3 linked regions of the Sus scrofa genome follow. The protein of the gene in region 1 purifies or fractionates together with the protein of each later gene. This does not show direct contact. Links are inferred from orthologs where the notes say so. Each region holds a gene or a part of one and is shown on either strand. Other genes may lie near its edges.

The links.
Region 2: the proteins of BAG2 (region 1) and LUZP1 purify together in Homo sapiens (affinity purification with mass spectrometry; 3 studies listed by BioGRID and IntAct, with this or other methods). This does not show direct contact. The link is inferred for Sus scrofa from reciprocal best matches to the Homo sapiens genes BAG2 and LUZP1.
Region 3: the proteins of BAG2 (region 1) and DNAJC13 purify together in Homo sapiens (affinity purification with mass spectrometry; 3 studies listed by BioGRID and IntAct, with this or other methods). This does not show direct contact. The link is inferred for Sus scrofa from reciprocal best matches to the Homo sapiens genes BAG2 and DNAJC13.

Annotation. Positions count from the first base shown.
Region 1 is NC_010449.5:28,677,697-28,681,735, forward strand, and holds the start of BAG2 (BAG family molecular chaperone regulator 2), read right to left. Parts: upstream 2,802-4,039; 5' UTR 2,486-2,801; coding exon 2,373-2,485; intron 2,236-2,372; exon of another isoform or gene 2,098-2,235; coding exon of another isoform or gene 2,087-2,097; intron 1-2,086. UniProt on the Homo sapiens protein: Co-chaperone for HSP70 and HSC70 chaperone proteins. Acts as a nucleotide-exchange factor (NEF) promoting the release of ADP from the HSP70 and HSC70 proteins thereby triggering client/substrate protein release.
Region 2 is NC_010448.4:80,976,191-80,979,707, forward strand, and holds part of LUZP1 (leucine zipper protein 1), read right to left. Parts: coding exon 3,082-3,517; intron 1,130-3,081; coding exon 974-1,129; 3' UTR 1-973.
Region 3 is NC_010455.5:73,625,886-73,629,402, reverse strand, and holds part of DNAJC13 (dnaJ homolog subfamily C member 13), read right to left. Parts: intron 1,215-3,517; coding exon 1,048-1,214; intron 940-1,047; coding exon 860-939; intron 778-859; coding exon 608-777; intron 152-607; coding exon 52-151; intron 1-51.

The DNA.
Region 1 (4,039 bases):
GAAAATGACCTGGGAAAATCATGCATTCTTCTTCCACTTGATCTTCTAGGTAGGATTCTAGGTTCTGAGAGTGCACTCCACTCTCCATGGCTCACATGGTTTCAAAAACTCCTGTTTTTACCCACCTTCCCAAATGCTTCCTAAGTTTTCACTCAGCGTTACTTTTTCTAAAAGCAAGAAATAAAGCTCGCAAAAGTCTACAATTACTGGGAAGGTCCTTAAAATGAACAACTAGACACACATTAATCAGCCTTTCCTCCTCAGTTCAAGAGTTAATTCGGCAAAATACAATTTAATTGCTTGTACTCAGTAATCAGAATTCGCTTCACATCAATCGCTGGAACACAATATTCAAAACCAAAGCCTTCCTGGTAAAGACGAGCACTTGGCTGCTTTCGTACGTGAGGCACTAGTTCAAGTCTGAGGACCACCACTCAAGCTTGAAGAAGGAGGCGGGGGCAACATCCCCCACGGTCCCTGAAGAAGAAACCCTTCCTTTCTGATGGGGTGTGGGGGTGGGGAGACCCCAGAAATGGTTGAGAACATGCCCCTCCAAGTTCTAAAGCCCGGGAAGATGACAAGACCCCTTTGCGATGCGATGAAAAAAGAAAAGGCAGTCTGCCGGGGCGGGGGTTGGAAAGGGGACAACACACGACATTCAGGAGCACTGGCTTCAGCAGGTCCAGCCACGGGAAGCACTGCTCTCCCCTTATTCCATCTGTGTCATTCCCAGCAGGACCCCAGAACCAGTCTGGGTTCTGGTTTCCATTACTACCCACAAAATCATGATGGTGGAGAATTTATTTTCTTTTTTTTTTTTTCATTTATAATGATATTTCTTCCATTATAGCTGGTTTACAGTGTTCCGTCAATTTTCTACTGTACAGCAAGATGACCCAATCACACATACAGGTATACATTCTGAATTTATTTTCCGAGAAGACATTGTTTCTTGCCATCATCATCAATAACAAATTTCAAATGATAAATACTAAATTTTAAAATGATTAATATAGGCCTCACTTGCTTAATGCTAATTGATAAATAATAAATGCCTCATTCAGTTAATCATGATAAATAATGAAGAAATGCCTCATTTGGTTATTAGTGTACTTTATGAGTCATAAGACCCCTCCCGTTTTGGTGTATTAATCAAGGGAGGTAAAGGCAATTCTTGAAATGTCTACCTTACCTACTCCTTTGCTCATCCAGAACCTGGTGCAAACTATGGAAAAAAATGCGGAGGTTTAAGGGAGTTGTGGGTGCCCCAGTTAAGATTTTCATAAAACTACACTTGCACACAATTTATACAGTAGCTTTTGTGACCTGAACCTTTACGAGAAGTACATCAACGTTTTCATACATTGTGGAAAGAGAAAAGTAGGTCCAAAACTTCTTGCATAGGCTTTAGGCATCCCAAGGAGCCTACCACCCCATCTGCCGCTAGGAGAGTCCCTGGCCACCCGGTTCTACAGGAACTGACAGCACAGCCTGGAAAGAATTCAGACGAGCAGGAATGAGGAGGCTCTGCGCTCTGGGAAAACTGGCGGAACAGGCCCACAGAGAGAGATTTTCAGGAAAATTTAATGAACCCAGATTCTTGCATCTTCCCACACGCAGAAAAGCACTAAAACCATTGAGGACACATCTGCTCTCCCGACCAGCAGCGACCTTCTATCAAAACGTGCGCTCGCCCATCTACCCCGCCCTCAAGTCCCCTCCGTGGGGCCGGGGCGGCGCTAGAGGCCCCCCCACACCCCCAGGTGCTCAGCACGCCCCCCAACAGCGCAGCTCGGGCCCCCTCACGCGGCTTTATTTCAAGCCACACGTTGATTCCTTATTAAAACCTGAATCAGCTAAGAGTGGAAACAGGTGACCCCTGTGGTTTCGGGCCAGCAAACTGCACTTGGAAGGTGGGAGCGGCTCTTGGTGGGGGGAGCCCGGCGCCGGGAAAAACGCAGAGGGGACCGGGCGGGCGCCCCACAAGTGCCCTCGCCCCGCCCCGCCTTGGGATCCGATGGGGCCCCGAAGCTTTATTCTGAGATATTGCTCTTAAGTGTTGGAAGCAAAAGAATGGATCACTGACCTTGGGACCATTAGACCGCCACCCGTTCAGAAAGAGCATCTCAGGGAGACCCGACCGAACCCCTGGCGTGCAGAAGGTTCTGGAAGCTCCGCGGACCCGCGGTGTCAGCCCAGCCCCAACCGCCAGCGGCGTCCCTACCCTTCACCTCCTCGGCTTCCCCCGCTCCCGCGCAGGCAAGAGCGCGGCCGCCGGGACGCGGGGCCAAGGGACCGCCGGACGGACAGGCTAGCGAGTGCCCCAGGGCCGGGGTCCGACCGCGCCCGGATCCGCCCGCCGCCCCGCACACCTGAGCTCCAGCTGGTCCAGGCTCTCCAGCAGGCGGCTGGAGCGGTCGGCCATGGACGAGGAGCGGCAGAAGCGGCCCTCGTTGGCCTTGGCGCTGATCCTCGCCTGAGCCATCTGCGCCCGGAGGCCCGAGGTCACCGCCGTCACCGCGCCGCACGCCTCTCTCTGACGCGCCGCCCGCGCCCGGGCTGGGGATCCGCGGTCTGGGTGGGGACTGGGGGCCAGGGGACTGGGGGTCGGGGGGCGCGGGTGGTCGAGCAAGGACTGGGGTCCGGACGACTGGGGGCCAGGGAACCGGGGCTCCAGACGCCAGGGGAACCCAGGGGCGCGGGGCGCTGGCTGACCGCGCGCGGGCGGTAGGAGGAAGCCGGGCGGCCTGCGGGGCGGCTCACGTGGCGTCGGGCCCGCTCTTCGCCTGGAACACCGCCCCCAGGGCGGAGCCCGCGCCCCCGGCCCGGCCCGGCCCAGCCCAGCCCGCCCTCCCGCCTCCCGCGCGCAGAGCCGGGCCGCCGGGGCCGTGTCGCCCGACCTGCCTGGCCACCAGGCCCTCTCCGGAGATGAGAACGAGGCTAATAGAGCGCGCGAGAAAAGGCGCCCCTCTTACCACCCAGCGGGACGTAGGAAGGTGAACTTCCTTTATTTTCAATGACTTTCTTCTGTTCAAAAGTTATTTGCTGGAATTTAAGTGAAATGGTTAAGACCCTTTCACACCCAACTTATTTAAATCTCCTGTTAGGAAAAGATGCCGTAGGCCACGAGGTCAGACACCATGAAGGTCAGTACAAGTGGAGTGAATGTTGTGGGGAGCTCGCTGCTTCACGCTGCAAGAATGAGAAGGTACAGGGCACTTCAAGTGGAGATAATAACACTTTAAAGCTGGATCACAACCTTTAATCTGAGATCAAAGCCATGTAAATAAGTGAACAGAGATGAAGCCCTTAAGGCTGGATGGCAATTTTTCTGAACTTAGACTCCATGTCGATGAATTGTTGCTGGAGGGGAATATTTGACATCATTAAGTATATTCTCTCATATCATGACACGAACAAAGAATCCTTCCACTTTTGGAGAATGGAAGTCTATCAGGTGACTTCAGCATCACCCTGGACTCTCATGCCAGAGACCCAGTCCCCTCCCCTTCAGGGTGCACCCAGCCTGCCTTCCCTCCTGGACCAGTGGCCTGCCCTCCCACTTGCACCCCTGCTTCTGCTCTCAGCTGTTTGCACTCAACACAGCCCCACAGCAGTCCAAGTACAGCAGGTCACACCACTTACTCTCAGAAACCTTCAGGGCTCCTCCTTTCCAGGGTCTTCAGAAAAGGTCTCTAAGGATGCCACCTTGCATTGCCCTCTGAGCTCATCCTGCTCTTCTAGACCTTTTCACCCTCTTCCTAGAGCTCGCCCACCTTCAGGTCTCCTGAGCTTCACCTGGTCAGGGTCCTTCCCGACCACCCTGTTGGAAATAACTGCCTCCCCCTGCCCAGCCCCATGCTCTCCCCCCTTCCCTGTTTCACTATCTTATCATTCGAGGTTCTATCCAACCCCCTCCCCGAGTGCTCCAGAGTGGGGGCTTTGTGTGTGTGTGTGTTGGGGGGGGATCTCAAGTGCCGAGAACAGTGGCGAACACATGGTAAGTAGCCAAGAATACTTTGTGAGTGGGTGAACAAAT
Region 2 (3,517 bases), on another chromosome or scaffold:
AAGTCCGTGCCTTTCATGAACGACTGCTTTGTGGAGTGACTAAAGGGAAATCGCTTCTCCTGTCCACTTTCCCCCCGTGCTGGCGCTTCCTAGAAGGCAGAGTGTGCTGGGTCAGGCCCAGTTTAGTCTGGAAATATTCCAAAGGAGGACATGACCAAGTCAGCCTGAGGTCTCCAGCCACAGGAGAGGAACAGGCAAGGCCAGCAGCATTATTGGTGCTCAGAGAAGGAGATGCATGAGGCTTGTGTACTTCCAGGTACCTCTGGAAGGTGAGCAAAGAGCTGGGGTTGGGGGGAGAGGTGGTGTCATTCCATCAGGTGGGTACCCATGTGTTCTGCCCTCAGAAAACAATGGTCAGCCAAGGGGCCAAGTCAAAAAACTCTGACCTAAAGGGTATTTCCATAAACCCTTAGACGCAGCACAGACCTCTTTTGCTGTAAAAGACTGAGGAACTCCACAGGGGAAGGAACGGAAGCCCCCTAGATGGAGCTGATGGCTGGTGGGTGTGTAGGCCCTTAGGGCAAACAAGCGGTGACCTGGATGCAGTGTGGAGACCTAAGAAACTGGAACATTAACCACACAGAAGGGGGTTGCCCTATGACGCAGAACCCACAAAGGAGCAAAGAAGAGATTTAGCTGCTGTTAAGTGGTGTGGATACAAGGAGTTTCTCTAGCTTTCCTCATTTTGGGGCCAGGGTGGCCCATCCTACCTAGGGGGTGGGGACAAGGAGAAGACTCATGCATCAGGGAAGGCTGGAACCGGGTGACTACGTCCAGCTTGTAGTTTCTGATCCCCTCTGGCCTACTGGCAAAAAATGACTTGAGCCACAGCCTGGCTCTCTGCGACAGTCTCCCAGCCAAGGCCTGGTGTCTAGCCTGGTTAAGTGGCCTTGGATCCTTCATAGAGCAGGAAGATGGGATGGAAGAGCTGAGAAGCATGAGCAGAGGAGGCAGCAGACCTCACCCCACTGGCTCAGTTTTCCTCAGCACAGGGTCTGCTTGGCCGTAACCGTTCCTCACCCCGGGCTCGCCCAGGCTCTGGAAGCCCCTGCTTCGCAGACAGTTCAGATCGTTCAAGGGAGTTGTGCAGTCGTCTGTAGACACCAAGTGTGCAGTCGTCACCTTCCTCCTATGCCAATAAGTGACAAAAGTCAGCAGCGAAGGACAATATAGTAAGTAATAAGACACCCTCGCTCCCCACCCCAACGGTTCTCTCCAACCTGACAGAGGGAAATGGAGTGCAGACAGACCACAGCAGAGCTACAAAGATACGCTCAGGCCTGGGGACAGGCCAATATAAAACTTTCAACTACCAACTCCAAGTTGCTGGGAGCTCCTAAGGTAGGGGGAGGCTCACAACTGAACAGGTCCTCTAACGGGCAGACAGGGCCTGCAACGGGCACTGCAGTGGTGCCCTAAGTGGAGGCCAGCAGCCCTTGGAGTGCTGCACATGCAGGCTGCGTGCTTCTCAGGCTAAGAGCCATCTGCTTGGTGGAGAGGCAGGGAAGTATGCTAAACAGGAAGCTGGACAGCCTTAGCCTATTTCCCACCTACAAACTGCATGCCTTTCCTACTATATCCCATACGTGCCCTTCATCCTGTATTTCTCAGAGAGCCAAAGCTTCAGCAGCCTAAACATCCAACTTTCTCTCCATTCCTCTTCAACCAGAATTCTGCCTTTTTTTTTTTTTTTTTTTTTTTTTTGGTCTTTTTGTCATTTCTTAAGCTGCTCCCGCGGCATATGGAGGTTCCCGGGCTAGGGGTCGAATTGGAGCTGTAGCCACCAGCCTACGTCAGAGCCACAGCAACGCTGGATCCGAGCCACGTTTGCAACCTACACCACAGCTCGAGGCAACACCGGATCGTCAACCCACTGAGCAAGGGCGGGGACCGAACCCACAACCTCATGGTTCCTAGTCGGATTCGTTAACCACTGCGCCACGACGGGAACTCCAGAATTCTGGCTTTTTAATGTCCTTGTTGATCTTCCCAAACTAATGCAGATCATGAATACCAGTATGAGTTACAAAATCAGGTTGGCAGGGTAAAAGTGCACTGGATTCAGAGATAGGAATCTTGGGTTCAGGGCTTATTAGCTCATCCAGTAACTCACCTGGGTGGCCTTGGGTAAGGAACTCTGTGTCTCTGACCCTCAGTTTCTGCATCTAAAAAACAAATAATATCCTCCCACACCCCAGGGCTGCTGGAGAGACTGAATGCGATGGTAAGGAAGTGTTTTGTCCAGGGTTAAGTACCTGTAAAGACTCATAGGGCTTTTCAACTTAACGCACAGTCACCTTTTAAAAAGAAAGGAACAATATCTACATCAAAATTGTCTTCATCACTTGAGCCACAATTATAAGACACTCCCCGGGGATTCCCTTTCATATGTTGTTCCAGCACTATGATCCTCAACAAAGCCAGTGAACCAGCCCTGCCCACAGACTGATGATATAATGGGCTAGACAGGTGTCTGTGACACAAAAAGTGATGCTCAGACATAAAGTGTATCAGAGTAGTCCTGTTAGCATGTAGGGGCTGAAGAGAGCTGGGGCTTACACCGGGACTAGGAAATATCTGCTGTCTAAACCAAGGCAGCCAAAGAACTCATTTTCCTTGGTTCCATCTCTGCTCTATAGAAAGGGCACCAAGCTTCCTCCTTTCACCCAGAGCCTCCCAACAACTGCAGCTGATTCTTGTGTTTCTCAGTACTGCTCTGTGGGGCCATAAGGGAAGCTCCTTTGGCTCTTCTGGCAAACCAAGGACAGAGGTCGTATCTCCCTCCTTCTTTGTAGCCTTCATATATGAAGGCAAAATGGAAGCGACAAATTGGGAAAAGGAGTTTAGAAATTCAAGCTGCTCTCCACCAAATACGTTCCTCAAGGTACTTTATTCTTAAGGCCAAACTCCCCTCATTTTAAAAAATTCTCTGCACTACCCACCAGTTCTACCCAGTGTTTCCCAGCCCCCAGTCTCCATAATCCTGAGTCACGCAGGCCAGGTCAGAGGAGGAGAGGGAAAAGCAAAGGAGACGGGAAAAGTGGAAAGAGAAGCGGGGACAGGGAGAGAAATGGGACTTACTGTGCCTGCTGAGTGGTTCCAGGCCGGGGCTGTGACAGCATCTCCTACCCGATTCCGACGAGTGAGCACCTCTGACACGGTGAGGCTGCTCTGGGTCCTTCTGGAAGAGAGCTCAGGGGCATCCCCTGAGTTTCCTACCCTTCGAGTGCCCTGCTCAGAAAGGTATGAGCCAGGCTGTTCGAGGTCTGAATAGTCTGTGGAAGACCTCTGGGTATAGGCGTTGGTAGACTCCACGTTTTTACCTATTCGAGTTGGGGGGTCTTCAAAAGAGTTCAAGTCTCGCCTACTCTTCCAGGCATTCCGCACAGTAACATGTCTGGCATCTGAGGAGCCCACTTCTAAAGGGGCACTATGGCTTTTCCACCTGATTGTCTCCGCTGCGGGTGCATGGCTATTCCTCTCCACAGGCTCTGATGGCTTGATTATAATGCTACTC
Region 3 (3,517 bases), on another chromosome or scaffold:
TTAAACCATCAGTCAACTTAAAATCAATTTAAGAGAAACACTATTACTTACACACATGAGGGCACACAGCATATCAACAGCTGCATGGATTACTCCATTATTGCTCCTTTTGAGTGCTTTTACCACTTTCACTCCTAGACGCTCCCGAAACCTTGTGAAACAAAACAACAAGCATATAGTATTAATGGCAGAGCATTATTCTATTATTTCATTATTAAGATATAACATAATAAGTCATCTTATGTTTTTACATTACTACTGCAATTACATACTCTGAATCCCATCTCTGGAACACATCAGTTTTCAGAATAATTTTTTTCTTTGAGGCGGAAGATTTTCTTAAGGTTAATTAAAATTAAAAGGCATATAATTTCCCATTCAAATTCACTAAAACAAGAGTCAGTAATATCATGGGTGAATGGATAAATAAGAGTTAGTAATATCACCAGTTCCATTCACCTTCCTTTTTTATTTCAAATCAATCAAAAACTACTGTATCAGCATATTAATAGGTATCAGGTTTTAGTCAGATATAAAGAGGTAAATTGTGGACTATTTGCTATTCTGAATTGTTCGAATTCTCTAAAAAAAATTTAAGACCACTTACTTTGGAAGCTGAGTAAAGGCTAAAAAACCAGCTTTGGAAGCCACAAGCCTCCTCACAGCTTGGAACTGACTTTCAAGTTCTGCATTTGAAGCAACAACATCTCCCTCTTGGGACAATAATGCTGTTATAGCATTATTGATCAGTTTTTCTTTGTTTTCTGAGAAGAGACCCTAGGTGAGGAAGAATATTTCAAAAAAGTTTCCATACCAAAAGTTAATGACAATGAACAAATTACAATACAATTTATCTTACATCCTGCGTTACTGCATGTAGAACTCCGCTATATGAAACATTAGCATTGAACCTGAACACAGCATCTGCAAAGTTGCCATCTGTAAGGAGATGAAAGGTTCAAAAAGATTTAGAGATCTTCATTGTACTTCTCAAACTATTATTAAGTTAATGGATGGAAATGCAATTACATTTAAATCCATACTTACTCGGAGGTGTAGCCAAGAATCTGAGATGAAGGCTCTCTACCTCCTCATCGACCGGCATGCTGAATAACCCCCATCGCTGACCTTTATGAGTTGATGTCATTTTTACACAAACATCTCGGTTACCAGAGGCTCTTACTCCATCGAGCAAACTTGCTAATAAGGAATCCCTAAGCAAAGTTAAAAACAAAAAGGTTTAGGATTGATAAATTAGAAGAAATTTTGATTTAGAGGGTAACCTAGGCTCTTTAGCAGGTAACCTGTCAGGGGAGCCCTCTGTGCACAAGGGAATCACAAAAGGACAGTGGCATTAGGAGAGAGCCTGACATTCTGTGTCCAAGGTATTAAAAGTATTAAAGCTTTAATGTTTTCCTGTTGTTTTTTAATTTTAAGATTATTTTTTAAAGTTTTACTTGGAGTTCCCATCGTGGCGCAGTGGTTAACGAATCCGACTAGGAACCATGAAGCTGCGGGTTCGGTCCCTGCCCTTGCTCAGTGGGTTAACGATCCAGCATTGATTGCCGTGAGCTGTGGTGTAGGTTGCAGACGCCGCTCGGATCTCACGTTGCCGTAGCTCTGCCATAGTGCAGGAGGCTACAGCTCCGATCTGACCCCTAGCCTGGGAATCTCCATATGCCGCGGGAGTGGCCCAAGAAATAGAAAAAAGACAAAAAAAAAAAAAAAAGTTTTACTGGCGCAAAACTTACAAATCACAAAATTCATATAATTAAAATGTATAGTCTGGTAATTTGTAGTATATTTATACAGTTGTGCCATCATTACAATCCAGTTTTGATATTCCCCCCAAAAGTTTCCTTGTGCCAATTTGCAAAAAACATCCTAGTCTTAGACAACTGTTTATCGTCTCTGTCTCTACAGTTCTCTTTTGAAGAAACTTCACCAAGAGAATGAAAATACAAGTCACAGGTCTATTTACAAAAGATGTATCTGATACAGGACTATTAACCAAAATATACCAAAAACTCTTAAAATTCAACAAGAAAATCCAATTAAAAAATGATCCAAAGAACTTAACAAAGACCTCACCAAAGAAGCTATACAGATAGAAAATACACATGAAAAGATGCTCCACACCTTATGACATCAGGAAAATGCTAATTAAAACAAGATATGGAGTTCCCCTCATGGCGCAGTGGTTAACGAATCTGACTAGGAACCATGAGGTTGCGGGTTCGGTCCCTGCCCTTGCTCAGTGGGTTAACGATCTGGCGTTGCCGTGAGCTGTGGTGTAGGTTGCAGACGCGGCTCGGATCCTGCGTTGCTGTGGCTCTGGTGTAGGCCGGTGGCTACAGCTTCAATTGGACCCCTAGCCTGGGAACCTCCATATGCCACGGGAGCGGCCTAAAGAAATAGCAAAAAGACAAAAAAAAAAAAACACAAGATACTACTGGGAGTTGCCGTCGTGACTCAGTGGTTAACGAATCCAATTAGGAACCAAGAGATTGCAGGTTCGATTCCTGGCCTAGCTCTGCGGGTTAAGGATCCAGCATTGCCATGAGCTGTGGTGTAGGTCACAGACAATGCTCAGATTTGGCGTTGCTGTGGCTCTGGCATAAGCCAGCAGCTGTTGCTCCGATTCAACCCCTAGCCTGGGAACCTCCATATGCCTTGGGTGCAGCCCTAGAAAAGACCAAAAAAAAAGATACTACTACATCAGTGTTACAATAGCCGAAATCTGGAATACTGATACCACCCAATGTTGATGAGGATGTGGAGCAATAGGAACTCTCATTCACTGCTGGGTGGAATGCAAAATGGAATGTGGCTTTTGGTAGACAGTTTGGTCATAGAAAACTCAACATTCTCTTACCATATGGTCCAATGATCATATTCCTTTGTATTTAACTCAAGGAGTTTAAAACTTATATCCAGACAAGACCTGTACACAGATGTTTATAGCAGTTTCATTCAGAGCTTCCAAAATTTGGAAGCAACCAACATGTCCTTCAGTAGGTGAATGGGTAAACAAGACAATGGAATATTATTCAGTGCTAAAAAGAAATAAGCAATCATGACATGAAAAAAACATGGTGGAAATGAAAGAAGCCAATCTGGAAAAGCTACATACCATATGATTCCAACTACAAAATTGTGGAAAAAGCTATAATGGAGGAGGGTGGGTGGGTGTGTGTGTGTGGGGTGTGTGTGTGTGTGTGTGTGTGTGTGGCGGGGTCGGGGAGGGGGCAGTAGGAGGTATTTGGGAAATCTCTGTACCTTTTAGTCAATATTGCTGTGAACCTACTAAAACTGCTCTAAAAAGGTCTTAAAAAAAAAAGCTTCATAGAAATTGAATCATATAAATATGTAGCCTTACATATCCTTATGTGTCTTGCTTACTTTACTCTTCATATGTTTTTAAGGCTCAGTTTTTTCTTGCTGAATAGTATTTCATTACGGATACACAACACTTTTATCTATCTCAAATAGGGGATATATATATATATACTGTATC